3 linked regions of the Drosophila melanogaster genome follow. The protein of the gene in region 1 interacts with the protein of each later gene in a pairwise test. Each region holds a gene or a part of one and is shown on either strand. Other genes may lie near its edges.

The links.
Region 2: the proteins of smash (region 1) and Sap-r interact in a two-hybrid assay, tested with the Drosophila melanogaster proteins (one large-scale study listed by BioGRID).
Region 3: the proteins of smash (region 1) and ebd2 interact in a two-hybrid assay, tested with the Drosophila melanogaster proteins (one large-scale study listed by BioGRID).

Annotation. Positions count from the first base shown.
Region 1 is NT_033777.3:4,656,697-4,662,833, reverse strand, and holds the start of smash (smallish), read right to left. Parts: upstream 3,256-6,137; 5' UTR 2,435-3,255; intron 2,308-2,434; exon of another isoform or gene 1,895-2,307; intron 1-1,894. Other genes in the region: spartin, read right to left, coding at 5,022-5,253, 5,625-5,931.
Region 2 is NT_033777.3:30,882,298-30,891,407, forward strand, and holds Sap-r (Saposin-related), read right to left. Parts: upstream 6,766-9,110; 5' UTR 6,637-6,765; coding exon 6,588-6,636; intron 6,530-6,587; exon of another isoform or gene 6,443-6,529; coding exon 6,364-6,442; intron 4,608-6,363; coding exon 4,325-4,607; intron 4,251-4,324; coding exon 2,423-4,250; intron 2,354-2,422; coding exon 1,878-2,353; intron 1,821-1,877; coding exon 1,679-1,820; intron 1,621-1,678; coding exon 1,616-1,620; 3' UTR 1,167-1,615; downstream 1-1,166. Other genes in the region: CG15547 (uncharacterized protein), read right to left, coding at 1-630, 686-774, 831-1,102.
Region 3 is NT_037436.4:21,343,495-21,351,298, reverse strand, and holds ebd2 (earthbound 2), read left to right. Parts: upstream 1-2,010; 5' UTR 2,011-2,257; intron 2,258-4,229; exon of another isoform or gene 4,230-4,261; intron 4,262-4,344; 5' UTR 4,345-4,544; coding exon 4,545-4,610; intron 4,611-5,223; coding exon 5,224-6,261; 3' UTR 6,262-6,531; downstream 6,532-7,804. Other genes in the region: CG32436 (uncharacterized protein), read right to left, coding at 1-750, 837-960, 1,038-1,284, 6,637-7,191; Tbc1d8-9 (TBC1 domain family member 8/9), read left to right, coding at 7,680-7,723.

The sequences.
Region 1 (6,137 bases):
GTGGCCACGGCGAAGTTGCCGGCAGCAGATGGCAGTGACAAGTGCTTTTGGTTATTGTTATGAAAGAGCCGGACTCGGGCCGAATTGGTTACGAAATCGGATACCAGATAGCACCTCCCAAAAGGGAAGAGTTGAGCATGTGTATGTCAAGCACAAGATGGCTTAAAACAAGTCAGTCTGATTTGGATAAGGTACTCTAGTATCATGTAATTACATGACAATCGCTTTATTTCTAAGATTCTCATTATATTTCTAGCTTTTGAAACTAATGTATGAAAATTTTAACTTACGAAATGCGAGTATGTTTAGAACAAAATGGAACAAATTTGTAATTTCGCCACTGATCTGGATTTCATTTACCCGATTACAGAGCGGTCCGAAAGAGAGACCAACTTAGTTAGCAAATGAAAATGAAATGTTTCCCTCTATGTAATTCTGATTACAAAACAAAATGAGCCACGAAAAAAAAAAAGCAAAACCGGGCTTCGAATGTGCCCCAACCGGCAGACAAAACAACCGAAGACAAATGGCCATAAAATGAAAATTGCAACTTTGGAAATTATTCGGCAAACAAGTTATGAGCAGCCGCGGCATTTGGGCAGTTGCGGCGGCGCCAATTTCCACGGCACCCTTTTCCTCCGGTTTCCTAGCTGGAGCCGCAGCTACTCCTATTTGTACCATTAAGACCGCTTCCGTCTTTGAGGCAAACTGAACTCACATAAATTGACGCACGAGGCGCGCAAAAACAATGAGATGGGAAAAGCATAAACAAAACAGCAGCGGCGGAAAAGCTCTTCGAAAAACAGATGATGAGGAAAATACCCACCGTGCAAAGAAGTGAAAAGTACACTTGAAACAAAAATATAATCCGATATTTGTTTGGACTAATAAAAATTAAACTACCAAATTTATAAAACCGATGTGTAAACAATATGATTTCTTGATCATACTATTTTCTGTCGCATTCAATCGCACTATAGAGAAAAATATAAAAAAAGCATGAGAGCCGCCACCCACCTGCACCATTATGAATTGATTTTCATGTGAGGGCACAGAAAAAATAATATTCGCTTGGGAAAGTGCCCCGGAAAAGTGTGTAACGTGTAACGACCGGCACCGCTCTCTCCCACACTCGCCCTGCCAATTGCTGCAAAAAATTGCCAACCACTGTCACCCGGAGGAATTTATTGCTCCTTTTGTGGGTAGTGCACGCTATCCTTCGAAAACCAAAAAAAAAAAATTTTTAAGTTTTGAAAATATATTTGTTTGACGATTTTCCAGGCACCAGAACTTGGGAGACACAAGTACTTACATACATACATACATAGAGATGTTTTTTTTTTAGATTTTGAAACTCAAGTTCGGAAGACGATGAACTCCATATCGCCGGGGAGTGTGTAACCCACTCCAGCCCTTTCAAATACCTTTCTCCTGTCCCATCACCTTCATCATCCAATCCACCCGATCCAATCTAGTCCAACGCCCTTGCCGCCGGGTTTGCTCCGAAAGTCGACTTGGTCCGCTCGTAACGCAAATGAAGCATGAAGCCTGAAATATTAGCCAAGTGCGCGGCTGGCGAAAAATGCGTCGCCCTGTCGCACAACTAGGCAACCCTGACAGCTGCATTCCGCAAATGCAATTAAACCAACTTTCCAATGATGGATTTTTTCTTTCGATTATAATTCAGCCGTTTTTCCCCGTCTTTTTGCCATTACCTTATTAGCTAAAAACCTGTAGCCTGTAGCTCGGGCAATGACGATAATGATGATATCAAATAAATGACTAGGCGCCCGAGTGCTGCAAGTTTGAGCGGTGAGAAAATTGGCATGCAAAGTGAAAATGTTTTGGGGAAAAAACCTATCAAAGCCAACACAGAAACGCATGTCGAGGGTGTCGAAATTTTTTTGAGACACATTTGTCGAACATCAAATTCGAAAGCCAGCAGATCGGTGGATGGATCGCAAGAATGTACAACTCAAGCTCACAAGCCTCACTCCAGAACACGAGCCTCCATCTACAAGTTCCGCCTGACCAACATGATCCAGGTCCCAGAATGCTGCTTGAGGTCATATCCCTAGTCCTGGTCATCACAACGTTATTTTGCTGCTACTGTTGCGTCAGATGAATGGATCTAAGCGATCCGCTCAATGAAGAAAAATCTCCGAGAGAAATGTGTTTTACCCAATCCTACTTTTTGATATCCGTTAGGAAAGATAGGAAAGATATTAGTCTTCATTTTTCGAATGGACCTTTTTTTATGTAAACTTCAAGCCAATAGTTACAAATTGCATAAATAAGCACGTTACTAAGACAATTGGCTACCTTTTTACACTTTTCTTTTCTACACTTTTTACGGTTTCAAAATGCAGATTTTGAAATCACTTATTCACTTATTATTTACTTTATTCATTGTGCAGAAGCTGAAAACACTTACCAACAAAATTCGAAGCTCTGTTCGTTGCTGGCACAGATGCTGTTTTTTACACAGTTGTTTTTCGGCGTTCAATTACATATATAAAAACAATTCAAAAGAATGGCGAGTCAATTGGAACAGCCACTGCAGAGTCCTAAAGTTGTTGTTGTTGTTGTTTGGAGCTGCTTTTCGGGAACAGGCCAAAAATCATTAGAAATTTCTATACTCGAGCGAGCAACACGTACACACGCACACATACGCACTCGCACACAGAGGCGCACCCACACACACTAATAAACGCGGGCCAGAAAATAAAACGGGAAACGTGTTTGCTTGTGTACTGTTGTTAGAACTGTTGTTGTTGCTGCGTTCGCAGTTGGCTGTTTACGGCAGTCGTTGTTGTTTATACAGGTTGTACATATGTATTTGTGAGCGAGAAAAACAGTTTTCCGCCGCGCCGTAATTGCAACTACTCAGCTTGGTGGATTGGACTCCCGTCAAAATCGGAAATAAAAGGCACTACCCACCCACATACACACACAAACACACTTCTGCCAACTCTCCTCCCTCAACCGCACAAGCGCCGCAGTTGCACCTCGACTGAATTCACGATTTTACACTGCACAGGTGCAGTGCTGCGCAAAACAAAACGCAAGACTCTCGGATCCGAACTCCGTGGCTTTGGGCTTTTCCTGCCTTATTTCCCGTGCGCACATATGTACACATTCACATGTATTCATGTACCAAGGGGCGAAATCACGTCCGAGCGGGGAATTATGTGCTTGCGTGCCGCGCTAAACTCTTAGCCACCTCCTTTTGGCCGAGTTCAAAACGTACTGCCGAGCGTAGGAATTTGTGGATATAAAAATGGGGCGGAGTGTGGCCAGCTGAATCAGTTGAGGTGGGTCGAATCGGACTACGAGCGGTATTTTTATCTGTCCGCAGGCAAGGTCTCTCTGTACGCTCTTACGTTTTTTGTTACGTTGTTCGGCGAAAAGCCTTCAAAATAATTAACAACTTTCTCGGTTTTTGAATTAGTACGTAAAGTATTGCATACAAAAATCAACGAGACGCTGATGGATCAATCTATGAAGCTTTGGGATCAAATAATATATAATATTATATAATGATATATGGCGGAGTTTAAAACCAAACCAATTTCAAGATAATTTTTTATTGCGCGTCCCGAAAGTATGCTACACCCATTCCTTTTTTTTAAATTTATTTATTTAGAAGCGATGAATCCATACAATGCAGCAATAGCAACATAACAGCGCAATTAACATATAAATGATAAAACCAAACCTCTCACTAATCATGTGAGGATTTAAACACCCATTCCTATTTTCAGAATGGAACTCGCACGAGAGCTAACGTTTGAAAACAAATGTATTCATTTACTTTACTTTTTTTATATATCGACTGGTAATTCTTAAGAATAAATCTCCACCCTGTGATGCTAAGATACAATATAATTATGTACGGATTCTTTTTAATAAATATATATAAAAAAATGTATTCATATGATTTTGACAATAATATGAGTATACATATTCCTATATTCTCCTAATATAAATATTAATAGGATAAAAGGACTATAATAAGGTAAATGTAAATATAGTCTAGGAGAAAGTTTTACCAACAATAGGGGTTATAGTCATTCATGTTATGTTATGTTCTGATTCGGGAGCTGAACCCTAACTAAATATATGGGCTCCTTGATATATGACACTTAGGACCTATAGAATATCACATTCTATATCTCGTGTATAAAACAAAACGTGAAGTTTTACCATATTTCGCCAAAGTATATATGTGGGGTTCATCGCTCGTTATATAAATTCCTAACTTGTTTATATAAAATTTGACTCGTTCCGCAAAGTTTTTGCTTGATCAGAGTGCTTTTTAAGATAGGAAAAAAGAATAAGGAATAAGATAGCTATATAGAGTCTTAGGAAATGGTTAGGAAATAATGCAAATAACATAACCTTTTCAACAATATAAGATTCAAAAGTCTGTAACTTCAGGCGATCGGAAGCTATGACAGTACTTACGAGGATTTAAAGCCGCTAAATTAGACGGCTTTTTATTGATCGTCAATCTAAAGATACTTAGATCAACATTTGTTCACAATTTACATGGTACGTTCATACTAAATTCCTTGCTAAAATTGTTAATTCTTTTAAATTAGTGAAAGAGGACTGAGTTGTGTATCAAAAATCAGGACATTTTAATTTAAAAACAAAAGATACCCGATACTTAGCGGTTGGAGTGCTAGGAAGCTAGAATTTAGGTTATACAAATATACAAAGTGAATTAAACATTTTTCTTTTTAATACTTTCTAGCTTCGGTTTATCTACAAATACAAAAGTAAAGCATTTTTGAACACTAAAATAAGGTTTTGATGCAAAATCTTTCGAAATATCTTTTTTATGTGTTATTGAACATAATATTTATTTATATTTTTTCTTTTAATTAGAAGCTATAAATGGCATATAAATATTTCAATATAATAATAATAATAATAATAATAATAATAATAATAATAATAATAATAATAATAATAATAATAATAATAACATGTGATAAATTCCTTTGGTTTTCCCGCTATTCCTTCAAAGCTCGAAGATCCGGATAAAGAGATCCGGCATTAATATAATGAGATTCCGATTTGCGTAAGTCTCGCTTGTAGTCACTGACCACAGCTTCTCCTGTTCGTTTGACCATTTTCTTGGCAATGCCCTTCGGGGTTATGTAGTTCACGTTCTGACTGACCACGAAAACGTTGCCCACCGTGTCAAAGGTGCCACTAGCCAGATTCCCCGTCTGCTGGCCATATCTGAAATAGCAAATAAATATATGTAAATATATGAAATATTAAAAATGCCCGCACTATATGTTTTTCTTTTTCGAAGGCGAAAGAAACCCAAAATGAATATCTAGATCTTAGTAGACCTTTAGTAGCATTACATATTTGAGACGATTCACAACAAGTTATAAAACTTTTCTTTGTGTGCAAGCTTGAGTAACATTTCCCGATCCTTGATCATTTTTGCGATCCTCTGCACATTGCGCATAACTTAAATCTCAGATATATTTAAATTGAATAAACCGTTGCCAGCCTAAGTGATTACTTTCAATTCGGACGAAAATTCGTAATGACATCTGTTACAAAACTGCATAAGCATTAAGAAGCCAAAGCCAACCCACTTGTGTTCGATTATCTTGACGGAGTTTTCACTGAGGCTGGAGCCTAGGATCTTGGCGGAAGTCTCGAGGCCATCGAATACGGTGCTCACTCCTTCCACGGCTCCTGCCGCGATGGTCATGGCGCCCTCCATGGTGCTATTAGCCTCGCTGGTGTCGTAGCCAAATCCCTTCTGCAGCAGTTTAGAGCCTTGCTCCTGAATGTGGGGAGCCAGGTAGCGGCCGACTGCCATTGAAGCAGTGCCCACCTTTCCAGCTATCCATCCTGTCATTCCGGCTGCGGCGTGCGTCACTTTTTGGGCCACCTCAACTATAATGAACAAAAGGTTACAACATAAGATACATTAGATCTATCTTATATGTAATCTGCACATTTCCAAACCATTGATTAACATGATTATCAAACACAAGCACAAACTCCGATCGAGGTGGAAGTGTAGTGACGATCACATCTTCGACTTCGAATCTTATCTTCTAATTTTATCGTTACATGCTCATTCGGAAGCTACCATACTT
Region 2 (9,110 bases), about 26 Mb from region 1:
CTGGTGGCGGTGGAGCTTCATGAACACTTCGGTCTGACTCCGCATCTGAGCCCCCAGACTCGCCTACGCCTTCCTCCTCCAGGTCGTGCAGGTCCTCCTTGGACTCCTGCTCCTCAGCCTCCGGTTGGATTTCCTCGTAGACAATAACTTCCTTCCACAAAATCTCCTCGTCCACACAGACTGGCTCCTCGTCATGAGGTTCTACGCGCTTATTAAGGTCCAGATCCGAAATACCGGGCTGAGATCTTTCGAAGCCTCCACAGGTGACACAGGAAGACGATGAGAGCAGCATTGAGGAATGCGGGGATGTGGTGGACAAGGGTGCACTGCTGCTCTGCGTTTTCTTGACTCCCGGCTGCGCGGCCCGCGCACTTGGCTTCGGAGCATAGGTCATGGTGGTCTGCTGCGATTTGTCCTGGATAGCCACATCCGGTCGCTGCTGGCACTGGTTGCTGATTTCCGGCATCTTTGGATTGCTGCGCACCAGGTAATCGGAAACACGCACCTTCCAGTTCTCCTGGCTGCAGTCGGTGTTCTGCATTATGTCGTAGATCTCCTCGAGCAGCGGCTTAAGCATCGGCCTGTTGCAGAAGTTGTTGTGGTCGAACATTTGATGGGGCTCGTGAATATCTGAAAAATTCGATATATTATTTTTTACTTTATTAATCTCTGTATCGCTACTTACAGTTGGGAAAAATAAAGTTTATCTCACGAGCCACGCTGTAACTGTTCTTGGTGACATGGATATTGCGTTCCAGATCCGATGCCGAACCACTTAAAGTCAAATTGTACCTAGAGAACTTATTATTTTATTTTAAAAGCAAACTCACAAATAACAAATCATGATGTTGAGCAGCTCCTGCACGGCGTTTTCCTTCGTAACTATGAACGCCTCGGAAACACCCTTCGAAAGCAGAATGACCTCCAGCATAAACCCCTTTTCATCGGCATAATCGGCATAGAACTCGGCGGCAGTTTCTGGCGAAAAGGCAATCCGTCGATTACCCTGAATCTGGAAGCCCTCGGCCAGCAACTTTAAGAGCACCGGACGCCGCTTGTGCAGATAGTCCGGCTTAATGATAAACAGGGAGTTCTCAAACATGTCGGCTAGAAAATATATACTATTCCAAGGGGAATTGGGAATTTTCAATAATGTGCTACTATGTCGGTTTAAGTTTTCTGTATGATTTATAAGATCAATGTTCGTATTTTACACAGTTTTGCTTGATATCTTAAACTACACACACTGCTCAAATGACTTCGGACACATGGGGATATCGATACAAAGTTTGCGGCTCGTGAATTTCGCTAATTTTTATGTTGAAATTACGATAAGGGTACTGCTTAGTGTAAGTGTTAGTTTAGTTAAGTTTAACTTTTTTCAGCCGGCGTTTGAGTGCGTTTATAAATTCAGTTTCATCACAAATTCACCTAACAAATTTAGAGCCAAAAACCGGGGTACAAAACGAAAAGTAAGTAATTATGTTTCATTTACAGTAAATCGTTATAGAATGTAAACAGATATATGTAAAGGTATATGCATATATAAAGCGTGGGATCGGGTCCCTTCTCCTTCAAATCCTCCGCGCCTGGTTCGTACATCACAACGCATCACTTAGGCTGTTGAAGATAGTAAATTAGTAAATGTATTGTTTGGGTCCTTCAACCTATAGCTTACCTGAAATTCTAGCAAAGGCCAGCGAAGACTTCTCGCTTTCGAAACACTTGCCAATCTCGGCGCAAATATGCGACTGATCAATATAGGGTCGTTTGGCCAAGTTCTTAATGCTACTGCCATAGATGGAGATCATCTCAGAGCACTGCAACGCAAAGGAACTTATAGATATTTATAACATTCAGGATTGTAAGTTACATACGATCTTGTAGTACTTGGCTGGCAAGTTCTCGCATCCCACCGATGTCATCTGTAGGGCTGTCACTTCGGATACGTTATCTTTCTTCTCGCGCAGGAAGGGCAACAGAGCCTGGGTGACTCCATGGCACACACCACACTCCAAAACTTCATCGGTGACGGCCACGCTGAAGCAGAGCTGCAGTTTCTGGCACACCTGCTTGGGCGGCACATCGCTCAGCAATTTCAGGACCGCAGAGGCATATCCATCGACGAAGGTGTCGCACTGTTTGCGCACCGTGGCTGGCAGGCGATTGCACACGGCTTCAATCGCTCGCTTAATGTCGTCCTGTTCGGTCTTATTCTTTAGATCGGCATCCAACTTGGTCATGATAAATTCGCAAAGGACGCAGGTGGGCGGCTCCTTGATGCTGCTAGACAGCTTGTTGTCCTGGCGCGGCAGAGCAATCACGTCGTACTTCAAAGCCTCATCCACTTCGACTGTATTACGAAAATGAAATTCATTAGTTTAAACGTATACTTAACGTAGCTCTAGAATTTAATACTCACGATCATCCAGATCAGCCAGGATGCACATTCCCAACTCCGTGCAGATAAGCTTGGGATCCATTTCCTTTAACAGCAGATCGGCGATCTTATCGCCGTACTTGTCGATAACCTTGTGGCATTTAGTGTTCATTGGCTTCCTCATTCGGTCGCAAGACTCCTCCAGGATATGCTTGATGCTGTCTCTGGTGGGGTGCTTGCCCATACGCTTCTCCAAGGTCTTAACCAACTCCTCGCAGATCAGGCAGTTCGGAGCAGCGGTGAATCCTGGGTCGAAGGCCAGCTGAGGGGGCAGCTCCTCAAGGGACTCAATGTCATTGAAGCTGATTTCCTCACTGCTGGATTTGTCCTCACCATCGACATCGTCCTCCAGCGAGATGCGCAAGTCCCAGAGAGCGTAAGTGGTCTTTGGGCAGAGCTTCAGTTGGACGCAGATCTCCTGCGGCTTAAAATCTGTGATCAGCATGTCGATCAGCTCATTGGAATAGGTGTTCACGAAGTCTACGCATTCTTCCTTTATCTCGTTGGGCAGATGGCTGCAAAGGCCATTCAGAACCTTTTTGATATTATCCTTGGACTTGTTGTCGCGGATCTTCATCTGGGCCTGCTCAACGGCAAAGAGGCACAGAGGGCAAGTTGGGGGATCCTGCTCATCGCTGGCTGGCTGGGGATTGAACACTTCGACATCTTCCTTCTTGGGCAGATTCTTCGGGCACATCTGCATGAGGGGGCACACGTCACGAGGATTCAGTCCTTGGACGAGCAGAGCTATCACAGCATCGCCATACATCTCCACGAAGTTGCGGCATTGACCGGCAACTCCCGAGGGCAGTTTGGCGCAGATGTTCTCCACGGTGTGCTTGATCTCGTCATCCGTGGAGGGGGTAGCCAGAGTCTCCTGAATGAAATGCAGCATGTACTCACACAGGGTGCACAGCTCTCCACCCTCGACCAAAGCTCCGGGATTAGCTGCACCCATTAGGTGATCAATGGGCAGCTGCATGTCCAGGATCTCTTGCTGGCTGAACTTCGGCTCACTGGCGCCCAGTTGCTTCTTCTCGTGCTTCTCCAGCTTCTCGATGGTGATCTTTACCTGAGCCGGCTCAATAACAGGCAGCAGCGGCATGATTGGGACATCCTTCATCGAGGAGGCGGAGTTCTTCTGGCAAATGCCGATCATGCAGCAGGCTCCATTGGCATCTAACTTGCTGACCAGAGTCTCGTAAATCACATGGTAGTATTGGTCAACAATGCTAAGGCACTCGTCCTTGAATCCCTTTGACTGCTTGCAGAATCCTTCCATAACTTGCTTGAACTCCGTTTCAGTGGTGTTGGCCACCAAGACGTCGCGAAGGTGCTTTACTAGTTGCTCGCATAGTTCGCATGGAATATCATCGCCGGCATCCAAGGCAACTAAGGCTTCTTGCGGTTGCTTTTCCTCTTCATGCTGGTGATATCTGGAGGCACACACTCCGGACACATGGCACACGGCATCCGTGGTCAAGTGCTTGCTCACATGGTCGTAGATATCATTAAAATAGGTGAGCACAATGTTGGCACAGGCGTCTGAGAAACTAGATAGCGATCCGCACATATGAAGCATCGTTTCCACCATGTCATCGCGATCGGTAGCCGCAAATTTCGAGTGCATCAGGCGGGAAAGCAGGTTGCAGTTGCCGCAGGAAAGTTGGTTAGGCTGCATGGCCAACTCGGTCTCCTCGGAGCTGTCATCTTCATTCTGGACGGTTCCATCAAGACCAGCCTGAATGCCGTTCTTATACAATTCGTCGATGCGAGCACTGTTGCAAAGTCCGGCCACAGAGCAAACTTGCTGAGGATTGAAGGGAAACATTTTATATATCAATAAAAGGTTTAGGAGGATGTGTTGTAGAGGTGAAAACTCACATCTGGATTCATCTGCGAGGCCAGGGCCTCGACCAACTCGGGCAGGAAGTCATCGGCCACCTTGATGCACTCCTTCTGGATCGGCTTGATCGGAATCAGCTTGCAGGAGCCCTCGAAGACCTCCTTCAGCTCCTCCTCTGTCTGGTTGCTCTTCAGCTGGTCGCGGGCCTGAGTAACCATGTCCTTGCATATCGTGCAGATGGAGTCCGTGTCCACCGGCACCTTTTGGGTTTCCCAAACGGTTTGGATGCAGTGGCGGGTGGCACGACATTCCTTGGAGTTGCTGGAAAGGAAGCAGACATAAAGTTAGCAAACTTTTTTTTTGCTGTTAAGATAAACCCATCAGAGTAAGCAGTCGGATACTAAGCTGATTGTGCGAAATGCCGCTGTTCGGATCAAATGACCCGCATTCGTAATCGAGTGGCCAAGCCAGAATCGACGAGTCAGCAAAGACCAGAGTCCACTAAAAAGGGAGTAGTCCCCTATCCACTTTAAGAATGCACCCACAGCTCACATGATAATGTTGGGTCTTCAATGAATACAACGAAGCATTGGACTGGTAATAATTTTGATTTTTGAACATCCGAGACGGAACGAAATGGTTTAATAATCATCAAACTTATGCTGACTAAATCAAAGCCCATATCATCTCATATAAGCAAATAGCATTTAAAGCACAACACTTTGATGGAAAGTAACCCTATATTTGTTCAATATAAATCGATTTGACTGATTCGAACGGAAAGTGCTAATTTCCATTAACATGAAGAGACGCCTGCGGTGGAATCGCCAGGAATACCAAACAAAAGCGTCTAAATAGCAAAAAATCAGCACTGATAAGCACGGAAATAAACAGTACATATGTATGAATGATATATCTGGACGTATCCACGTATATATTATTCACTTGGCTGCGCATTCACAGATATTGTTTTCTGAATTTTCAACAGCAATGGCGACGTTTTTAATTTTTGACACTCTGCAATTGAGAAACAAAGAAACGGTTAAGAGCCAGAAATGGCGGATTTTCCTGGCCATTTAAAAATAAATCAATCAATAAACAAAGGAATTACGACTAGCGATAAGCGATGGATGGGTGCTTAACAAATGTTTTCAGTTGCCTATTGATCGCTTTTACTCTATTAATGATGCAGTCCATGTAAATGTTTTCAAGTTTATCTTGGTGTAACATACATACATATGTACGTACAGTATAGCTTCTGTAAGGTGATCCTTTGTGGCCGCAATGTAATATCACTCCATTGAGGAATTTACAATTGTGAGTATGGCTAAGATAAGGGTTTCAAGTGCATTGTGATTGTGTTAAGGCTTAGAAGTTGCACTTTCGGATGTTCCCCTGTACTCATCATACGCCTGAGGGATTAGTCAGAATTCGTTGATAAGGAACAACTGTTGCCGCCTACAGCGAATTAACAATGATAAACAAAGCAATCATGTGGTTTGTTTGGCGGTGCACAGAAAAGGGAGCTGTGTCAAAACGATCTGCTCCTCTGGATTACTCATGCATATAATCGGTGTCGATAAAGTTGTGCCCCCTACGAGCGCTTAACTCTGCCGTCTAAATGTTCCGACTGGCGGTACTGTTAATTTGATTTGTACAGCGAATGTGCAGACAAAGGAAATCCAGAAATATGGGATATGAAGGCAGAGAGTATTGCGAAAAGTGCACTCAGAGAAAACATCGAGTCTGTAAAACAATACAACGCAAAATAAGGGGACGCAATTAGAGCGGCACTAGTGTTAAGTTTGCAATAACAGGGGTTATCGGCGAATAGAGCTATGTAGAGCAAAGTGATTCGATTCCCGATTCGAGTGATAGTCTTATCGGCCGAGAACAAAACAGAACAGACGAGTCTTCGCTGCAAACAATGGGCAAGTGAGGCGGAGAAGTAATATCGCTATTTGGAGGGGGGTTAAGAGAGGTTAGCTTTTCGCCTTCGAGAACTTTGTGGTGTTCGATGACCAAGCGATTTATCCGAATATACCGTTTATTGTATCACCCACTTTTTTGCACTCACCTGAAATTTCCGCACCAGTAGGAGGGTCCCCAGGTGCACTTGCTGGAGCCCAAAAGGGGCGTGGCAGCGGCGAAGACGCCTGCAAGAAAGCAAACAAACAAAGAGAGCAACGGTTGAGGAACAGAGTGCACAGCACGAATACGCAATAAGCTATGACTAAACTATTATTGTGGTTCCCTTTCAACGTCGCTTTTCGCACTTCTCTCCATCTCTTCTCCACTCACCAAAGGCGCAGCACAGTGCCAAAACGGCCAAGAGGCCTGCTCTCTCCATTTTCCCGGTTTTAACTGTACTTCTTAAATGTCGGCGGAGATAGTCCTCTATTTGCAGCTACGTATTTATTTCTGAACGAAAACTGAAGTGCAATTGCAACGATTGGTTCAATTTTTTATTTGTCTGTAGTGTGGCCGCCGTCTGTTTCGTCAAATATATACCGTAGCGATATAATAGTGCGACCAGTCAGCGATTGAATTATTGTTAAATTTATTTAACGATACTTATGGAGCAAGACTTGGATAATGCTTTTAGCATAAAACCAACCCAGTGTATACTTAGCAATCAGGGGGGAGCATGGACTCGAACCGCACTCTGTTAATAACAGAGATCTGTTTTTGCCTTTCAAAAAGCCATAAAAACCTCCGAGGAAGCTATCATAAAATGGGGTCAGCAAATCATTAAACTTAAAATGGTATAATAAACAATTAAGTAACCGATATGAAACTATTAGATTTGGGCCACCTTTCTATAGGGTGTTAAGTACATGGAGTACTTGAATACGTTGTCCTTCAAATTATAACTTCAATTATCGTAGAAGAAAATTATTGCTCCTAAAGTCGGAACAATTTATTAAATCACTCACTCAATCAACAAACAAAGCCTTCGCCACCCGCAAATGCCTCACAATGTATTTATAATCGATTGCAATCCGCAGATTTAATTACATATTGCCGCGACGAAACTATGACAATAACCATCAGCGATGTTCTTGAACTTAGCGCGGTTATTAATACGCCCCTTTTTGCCCAGCCCCATCGCTTAACCCCCCTTTGGCCAACTTGGCCAACTGTGCGACGTGAACTGGCAGGCACATGATTAAATTCTATTGTAATTGCGGGTTAATTGATGTGAGCCTGCCCAGATGTAAAGCTCGCAGGCATAAATGTTGGGGAAAATGCATCTCACTCGTAATGGCCGGCTAGTAGATTTTTCTCGCGATGCCTATCGGCGTGTAATTCTCGATTCCGAGGTGCGTATCAAGATCTGTGTGAGAATCGTCTGAAGATACATTCGCAAAGAATGCCAGACACATTCTCACAGCGATTGAAAGTCGAGGTCATCTGGTGGTGTTTGCCCAACGAAATGCCAAATGCAAGCGCCGATCCGGCCAATACGGCCATAACATGGCTATATCTGTGTCAAAACCAACGATTTGGCTGTTCAGGGGCTTAGAAGGAAACCTGAAACCTGTCGTGTTGACCGTGGATTGCAACGCCTGCCGTGCATTTCGGTTCTTTGACGGAGATTAACCCACTGAGACCTTGCTGAAATACTTGGTACTTAGAACCAAAAATTGTGGAAATATTAAATTGCACTCGATTAAATAGGAATTGAATTTAAGGTTTATGTGACCTTAGGCGAGGTACCATGGGGTAGTAGAGGGTTAATTGCAGCCAGACACTGCACTTGACACTTGAAGTCTGGCTGCGAGATTGATATTATGGCAATTGAGTGGACCGCCGCCAAAGAACAAGTAATCAAGTTCAGCAGTGAAGGAAATTTAGGCAATTAACACGCTTATAAGTGAAGCAGTAAATCATTGGACTAACGTTTAATTTCGGAGTTTCAAGAGCGAGATAATTTTCTGCTTTTATCCGCTTTTTTATGTCATTCATAAATTTGTTTACTCTAGAAGCGACTGCTTGTTTGGGTCTTTGAATTCAGCCAAGCCAAGTTATAGTCGGACAAAGTACAAAGTACGCCTTTTATTCCCTCCCAATTAACTTGGTCAAAAATCAGGTTCGGAAAGAATTAAATGCATCCATCCACAAGAGTGAAATTTCCGGCAGTTCACACGCTGGCAGATAAAATCGAGGCTCGAGATACATTTTGTGTTGAGTGACCCGCGGAGAGATTGGTAACAACTCTAATTGCCGCGATTGCCAAGTGCGTCACATAAGGCCCGTCTAATGGCTAATTGTTTATGGCCACTTTGGCTGACCTCTTGGGCAATTTCCCTTTCCCTATCCATGAAATCCGCCTGAAACTCCGAAACAGTTACTTTGGGGTAGTCGCTTTTCGGAGATCAGAGAACGTAGCTCACTAACTACTGCCTCACCATGCGGAAATGAACTTGACCTTATCGAGGGGCTAAAAGACCGCTAGCCACAGCCAAATGCCAGCTAATCAATTCAGCCACAACTGCTGGCCATAATTTGTGAGTCAAATCTTCAAATACTGTCTATAATGGCTATAAGCGAACGAAACCCCCAACAATAACAAAGCAGAAACAGTTGAAGTTATAGTTAAGATCTACAACTCTTTTATAGCTGACTTCGAGCGAAGGCTTCTCGACTGACTGCTGCTCTTCTTCCGCACGTAGTCCGTCCAGCATCCAGATCAAGTTCAGGTGTGGATTTGGCCATAAAGATGCAGTAGTCTAGCTGGGTTAGAAGCGCTAATTCTCGAAAACTTTGACCCATTGAACTGCTTTGCGTGAGACTTCGCTCATGATTTGTTTATGGGAAACC
Region 3 (7,804 bases), on another chromosome or scaffold:
ACAGTACCCGGTTTCCATAGCTTGGCTAGCTCAAATTCCGAGTAAATCAGAGCTATCAATGACACAACTAGCGATGCATTCTTCTCATTTCCGGAGATCGGTTGGTGAATGCCACCTGTGGCCGCAGTTTTTACAGCAAAGTTCTCATTGACTGGCGCCCAGAGTTTGTGATACTCCTCGTTTTCCGCCGAATTAATTGGTGGCTCCTTAAGTTTTCCATACTGAGTCAGCGATATCTCAAAAATATTGAATTCATCCTGCGGCTGCAGATCGCTAAACTTGGTGATCAAATGGACCAAGTGCTCCGTATAGCGAGTGGCCATCAGTGAGCACTTTCCCTCCTCGAAATTCCGTTCGCAGTTTTCATCACGTCCATTGGGATCGAAGATATAGTACGAGTTTAAGCAGCGCTTCCAGATCAGCAGGAAGAGATCCCGGGACGTAAAGATGCAGGCATTGTATTTGGAGAAGAATAGGGAAAGTGCTTTGTACATATTTGGTTCGTTTTTCAAAAGTCCCGAGAAGTGTATCTTAATCTCAACGGCGGCGTCTCGTTCCGCAACCTGTTGGATTATATCGAAATCATTCACGTCTGACTTGTAGTTTAGGTCGGCGCTCTTTTTGGTCAATTTCACTCCGCGCTTTAGAATCCCATCCATTGTAGATCCCGTCCAGAAATCGGGATTCAAACGAAAGGTCTCTACGAAAGCGACTATAATGGCACCGATTTCACTAGGCCGATAATAGTACCTGGATTTAATGTAAGGAGGAGTTATATATTTTATTGGAGGGTATTAGTAACTAAGCATTACTAGCAAAGAAATCAGATTACTCACTGCAAACGGTTGGGCTCCTTCTTTGGTTCAGGATAGATGTTCCGATTCCCAAACACAATCTCAGCAGTAAACGTCTTTTCCAGCTGTTGTGGTATATTATAGAGCGTAAGTTCGCCGTCGTTTTCTGTGAAATTTTGAAAAGCCTAGATTAGGAATGCAAATCTCTTGGAAAAAAGATAGTTCTATTCGCTAACTACACACCATATTTCGGCAGGGAGGCGGATATGAACTCCTGATCCATATGCTCCTCTCTCTTCTGGTAGCCCACATTCCAGGTCCACAAATCCTGTGGACTGCAGCCCTCAATGATATCGAAGGTCTTGAGGTTTTCTCCTTCTAAGCCTTCTTGCAGGATTCGCGGATTGTAAGATGAAAAGGGGAGCTCCTCCAAGGGTCCAACTTCAGTTTCGTTTAGGTATATGCGACTCTTGGGACGCTTTAGCTCCAACTGCGCAGGTTGTATAAATATATCATTTCTTTTTTTTAAGATTATATTAATATTCAATGAGGTCGGTAAATTAAATTTATAATTGCAACCGATATACATGAATAAAATAAAAATAAGCTAAAATACATTACAACCATATCCAAATAATTTCTGTATGTGTGGTCAACAAATGGCGCACTTAGTGTAACCCAAATTGCGTAAGGATATGTCCAGCCAATTGAAATATTCAGTGAATTCATAGTCTTGGCTGGCGATGGATTGGGTAACATATGGCCAGTTATCAACGCTTGGCTCTGTGCAAGCTCTGTGCTTTCACTCGGCGACTCGGTTTTCCTGGCCATGGCCATAAGCTTTTAATGCGGCTGAAAATAGCACGCATACGCCACCGATGCCCGACGCCCCGTTGGTCTTTGCCTTGGTCTTGGTCTGGGTATGGCATTTCAGTATTGTGTTGTATGGCAAGGTATGGTATGGATGGTATTTACGGGAGGCCTGTTTTTTCTCCTCCGCTGTTTTTTGCGCTCATCAAGAAGTTAGTTAGCGGCATAAGGTAAGCACGAAATGCCAACTAGACTGACTATAACGACCTGATGTCGCCGCGCTATATGTGGTATACGATGGCATGCGCTATATATGTATGGGTTCGCAGTGCGTCTGTGTTGGTGAGTGTGCCTCTATGGCTGGCTGGCCACGATGACGGGCACCAAACAACAGAGGCGTCCCATGCACAGAGCAGTAAACAACGAACAGCGCTTAGTGCCACATCACGGAATCTTATCGCTCTCGTTCGTTCGGTCGTCCAAAAGCCAAAAACCCAACCAGACCAAAAACCGACTAGCCCGAGACCAAAAACCCGGACCCCGAGCAAATACGAAGCTGCCTCGGCTGCAGAACAAACAAGTCATCTAGTAAGTAGCGTGCTGCAGCAAAAACAGAAACAACAGGCATCCAAATCGACGACCAGGTGAACCAGGTGAGCGCCGCAGTATCGCACTGTTATAGCATACGACCACGTCAATACCAATACTAACACCAATACCAAGGCGCACTTGCCAACAGTACAAGTCGGTTCCAATTCCAACAACGCAACCCTCTTTCCATGGGCGAGCTAGCTGGCAAAATGTCAAACTAGGCGGGGTTACGATGGGGCTCGGTGTGTTCCGCGTACGGGGACTTCAGACACATGATCATTCGCAAGGCAGGTGTGGTGGGATGTCCACTTAATTATATTTTATTTTAAGAACAATACTTTGAGAAGACAAATGCTTATTTTATTCATGTAGTGGGATCCAAAGGACATGTTTTTTTGAGTTATCATATACCTTATGCAAACGAATATTCTTAATATATAATTAAATGTCAGTGAAATACAAGAAAATGACCATAAGTTATTAATTTCATCCAGAGACCTAATTCAAAGAAAGACTAGGAACTGCTGAAGTATTCCACTTTAAGGCAGCCCTTTCATCAATGATGCTGAGGCTGCAAGAGCAAACTTCGAGATGGCTTAAAACTCAACTTAAGTTTGGTATTTGCGAGGTGCAGCCGCCCAGCGAAATTGAGATACACATGCATATGGGGATGGACAGCCAAGTGTTTTGTAAGCAGCGGTCTGGCACCTCGAAAAACAGAGCTTGTCTGCATATACAGAGAAAACTTCAAAAGAGTAAACTTCATTTAATAGTTTTATTTCAAGGACCTTTTTAATAGCTAGTATATAGCTAACAAAAATAATGCTGAACAGAATTGATGTTCTTTTAGTGCCTAAAACATACAATAACTATACCTTTTTAGACAGTTAGTTTAAATGAACGAATAATAGGGAATTTCTCTGTTGTCTAACAACGATCTGGACCGATAAGAAGCTAGCTATGAACGCCCCAAAGACTTTAGAGCGAGCTTATATCACTTCGGCCACCAAACGAATCGTTGGAAGAGTAAAAGTAGACAGGCTCTTATCTGTGACGCAAAGGTAATTAGCCAAGATAGAGCGAGGTTTTTGCGGCGGGCAATCCGACGAGGAATCGGACTTTAATCGGTAACCCAGCATATAGCCTTGCCACCCCCTCCTGTCATCGCCACGCTCCTGCTCCTTCCACCGACAACAAAAATTGATACATAACAAACAACAAACGCGGCGAAACGCAAACGCATATGACACAAGAGCGAAGCGACTGCAACCGCACTGCTTTTGCATACCATGCCCACTGCCGATGCAATAGACCAACAACGCACATAACAGCGGGCAAATAGAGAGTTTCACTTTTTAGGTGCAGACATGTATTTATACATGTATACATATGTACATATATACTAGATACATAAGATCAGCAAATTAACAATTAACGCCTTAAAAGTAGTCGATGTTACCAGGGTTCCCAAAGTATTTGGGGTATTTGCAGGATAAGGACTGTAATTGAATATTTGAAAGCCTTAATATTAATTCATAAAAAAACTGCCATGTTTTATTACTAGAATTAAGCCTTTCTGCAGTTGATAACTGCATTTGTTATTAATATGACAAATATGAAATTGTATATATTGTTTTGTTTTCGCCAACTATAATTACTTATGAAACCCAAAATATTCTGCTTGCTTCCCTGGTTTGCCAGAATCAGCTCTAATCTCTTCCTACAATCAAATCATCTAAGCATTGTCTAGTGGTTTAATACCCTTTCTAGTGAAGTACGCTAGTAACTTGACCTGCACTGTACAAAAGTAACAGCTGCGTTGCTACAACAGCAAACACCATGCAAAAGGGATTGAGCATAGTGAACCGTTTTTATTTCATACGGAGCGCGCACTGAACGCACACACACACAGGCGCAGAGAAACGAAGAGCGGAACCAAGAAACAGAAACAGGGCACACAAGTGTGTTATTACTCAGTAATTGTAAAAATGTCAGAGGCGCAACAACAAAAGCTAATACAGAGGCAAAGCGAATTTGAGAACGTGCCGTGCCAACTTTCGTAAAAAGTGACTAACAAACGCTTAGCCATTTGCATCAACAGTATTAATATTGCTTTTATTTCTGTTTTATTACGTTTTCTCTGTAACAGCTTCAAAAAGGAGTCTCGCACGAACACATCTCTATCTCCCTCTGACGCATGATCTAAGTGGCGCGAGAGCGGAACGACTACAGCCGTAAGAGCGCAAGAAGCTGCTGCGCAGTTATCGGAAAAGAAGAAGTGGAGAAGGAAAAGAAGGAGAACGGAAAGAGCAGAAACCTAGTTGCAATTGACTTAACACAACTATTGAAATGGCTGCTATTGCCGCCCTGCCAACAACAACGTTGCGGCGCAACAACAACAACAACACCAAAGGGGTAAGTAGTCGCAAAGGGACAAGGGACCAGATATGTCTGTTAACTTGGCCCTTAAGCGACCCGCTGAGGGTGGATTTTATAACGTGTCTCGAGTGGACACGCGGCAGTTACACTAAACACGTGTACACAAGCATATGCATACATATGTACATGTATACCGCACACATATCGTACATTCATTTACCCTTGAGCTGCGTGGCTTGCAACCAAGGTCCTTTACATGCACACCCTTTGCATGATCGAAACGGAGGCCGTTAATCCCTTAAGGCTAGCTTAGTGTTGCAGTTCGTATAGGCCTCTGTTTTCATTGTAATGCCAAATTCGCACTATGTTCATATACAACAATAATATTATCTATAAAAATGTACAAATTCTATAGAGCTTATTGGAAAAGAAATATACGTATATATATATATACGACACTGAGAGAAAAAATTACTTATCCGCCCAGTAACACTTCTGCATGGAAATTTTCGACAGGATATAAGAGGTGGTCAACAAATGTGGCTTGTACCCTAATAGTTGCAGATATCTAATAATTTATTAAATTGCTTAAAATATATTTAATACTAATCTTAGGTTAATCTTATACTCTTCCCTCTCTATATTTTAGATCAAATCCCGTCGCAATGAGCGTAACATCCTGACATTCTACGAAAAGATTGCCGTAATCCGTTACTATGACGAGACCAACATCTCTAGGAACAGTCTGGCCAAGATGTTCCACTGCTGCGCCACCCAAATACGTAGAATCTTGGATAAGAAAAAGGATCTGCTGCAGCAGTTGGCCACCTTAAGCGAGGCAGATGCCTCCATTATAATCGAAGAGATGACGCGCAAGCGCCGCAAGTTCGAAATGAGTGCCATCAGCTTCCTACTACACGAGTGGGTGGAAAGGTGCATCCAAATGCAGTTGAACATCAGCATAAGGAACCAAAAACTGAAGGAAACCGCCATCCGGATGGCAGCTGTGTTGAACCTGCCATCCTTCAGACCATCCTATCGATGGCTAAGCCGATTCCGCAACAAGTACAAGTACGAGGCCGATGAATTGGGCTACCAGGGCGAAAATCCCTTGAACCAGGACCTGCCTGTCGAAGACATCATTGTGGAGTTTAAGCATGCACTGCCGAACTTCATGCAACGGGAGCTGGATAATCCAGGCGAAGCAATCTCAAAAGCAGCTGTTATGGCAGATTTTGTCAATCTCTCCAGCGAAAACAGTATCATGTCCGATCATCCAGAGGGGGATAATGAAGTGGAGCTGGTAACATGTGAGCCCACCATGATGTCCTCACCATCCAGCACACCAGATGCTGCAGAGGGGGAAATACCTCTGCAGGCACATGGCGACCAGGAAAACCCGGATGATCAGATTAACGCTGGAACCAGTACTCTTCTGAATGGGGTTTTTCCGCATCTAGCCATTATCCACCAGTTCGCTCTGATGAACTCGGATGTACAGGCATTGGAACTTATCTCCCAGCTGGGAGTGCACATGCAGCAACAGGCTGTTTCTGGAGCTTATCATAACCTGTCGCTGGCGACTACCGATGGAGATGGGCAAGACGATCCAGGAGAAATCGCTCTTTCGGAACTGCCACCGGGAAGTATTTACGCCGATATCGATGACATCGAATTGATCGAGTAAAAACATCAATTTATCAAAAGGTTAAAGCTAGTCTAAACTTATGCCTCAGCGTAGTCGACTGTTATTTATAATCAACAAATCGTTTTGTTATGAACTTAAATGAGTTCATTTCACCAAAAAAGTACTTAAGGCCTTCGACTTTTATTAAGATTAATTCTTAAAACAACAACAATAAGAGATCTACTTCATAATTTAGTTTAAATCAAATTCGATTTGATTGATTAAAAGGTTAATAAACCAGAATTGCTTATTATGATCATGTTAAAATTTAATAATCCGCAGATAATTTGGAAATGGTGGTAATTTGGGATACGTAGTTTATACGAATCGAGAAATATTGTCTATACCAAGTTTATAAGCTATATCTAAACATACCATGCGTTTGTCCGGAATAATTATCATATCAGAACTGCATTCTGGAGTGGCTAGTTGTGGCTTGACCTCGCCCTCCTCCTCTTCCTCGCCCTCCTCCGCCTGTTGTTCCTCCTCGCCCATGTCCATGGGACTGTTGAGGACGACGAGATCTTTGGGACATGGCCTATCGACCCTGGCGTCGTGCTCGACGAGTCCAAAGTCCTTGCGCGCGGCCAGAATTCGCTCTCGCATCTCGGCATGGGTCTTTAGCTCCGCTGGAGTTCGTTGTGGCACGATGCACATGGTTAAATCGTCGTAGAGGTCACATTTCTTTTTATAGGGCTTTGTGAAGCGGGATTCCTCCGCCTTGTGGTGGATGCGACGCAGCTCATCCTCGATGGTTAGCACTTGGGAGATCGTGGAGTTGGGTGGCTTTTTCTGACAGACGCGATCGCGGGGCGGACAGTTCTCCGCCTTCCATTCCGGCGACGTTTCGTTGCCCAGAAAGGTACGAATCTCATAGGGATTGTTAGAGGGACTGCACTCGGCGTTCACTTCCACGAATTTTTTCAACATTTTTGCAAAACACTGACGATTTTGCAGGAGTTGAGAATAAAACTAGTAATTTTGTAGCACGACACGTTCGTTGGGCTTTGAACTTGTTATATAAATGAGAGGTTTCAGTTTCGATTTAAAGCTAAAGGCTAACTATGTAATTTATATGGTAACTTTGCGTAATATTAAACTGTTAATAATGAACATTTTCTGTTTCTCTATTCGGCTTCTAAAAGCCAACAAGTTTTTAAATTGGAGAGAACATATTTCGCTTAATTGAAGTTAAGATACAGATTCATATTCTTAGGTTTAACTAAACGTTAACTATTTGATTCAAAAATCGGACGCAGAGTGCACCCATTCACAATAGATTGCTTAGTTCTTTGTGCGTTTTGTGCTTTCCAGCCAACGGGCACACTTGCCACAAAAACAGCAATCAGCGCTCGATGCAGAATTAAACAAAGAGTAATTTTGTATTTAGAGCCTGGCACGGGCTAAGAACAATCAAAATGTGGATTCAGCCCAAGGAGCTGCTGCTTCCCTCGGCATTTTGGTGAGTTATAGCCCAAGTCCGCAGCCGAATCGAAGGATTGCCGAAAATCCAAATTAAACACGGCTGCATGGGTGTGTGGGT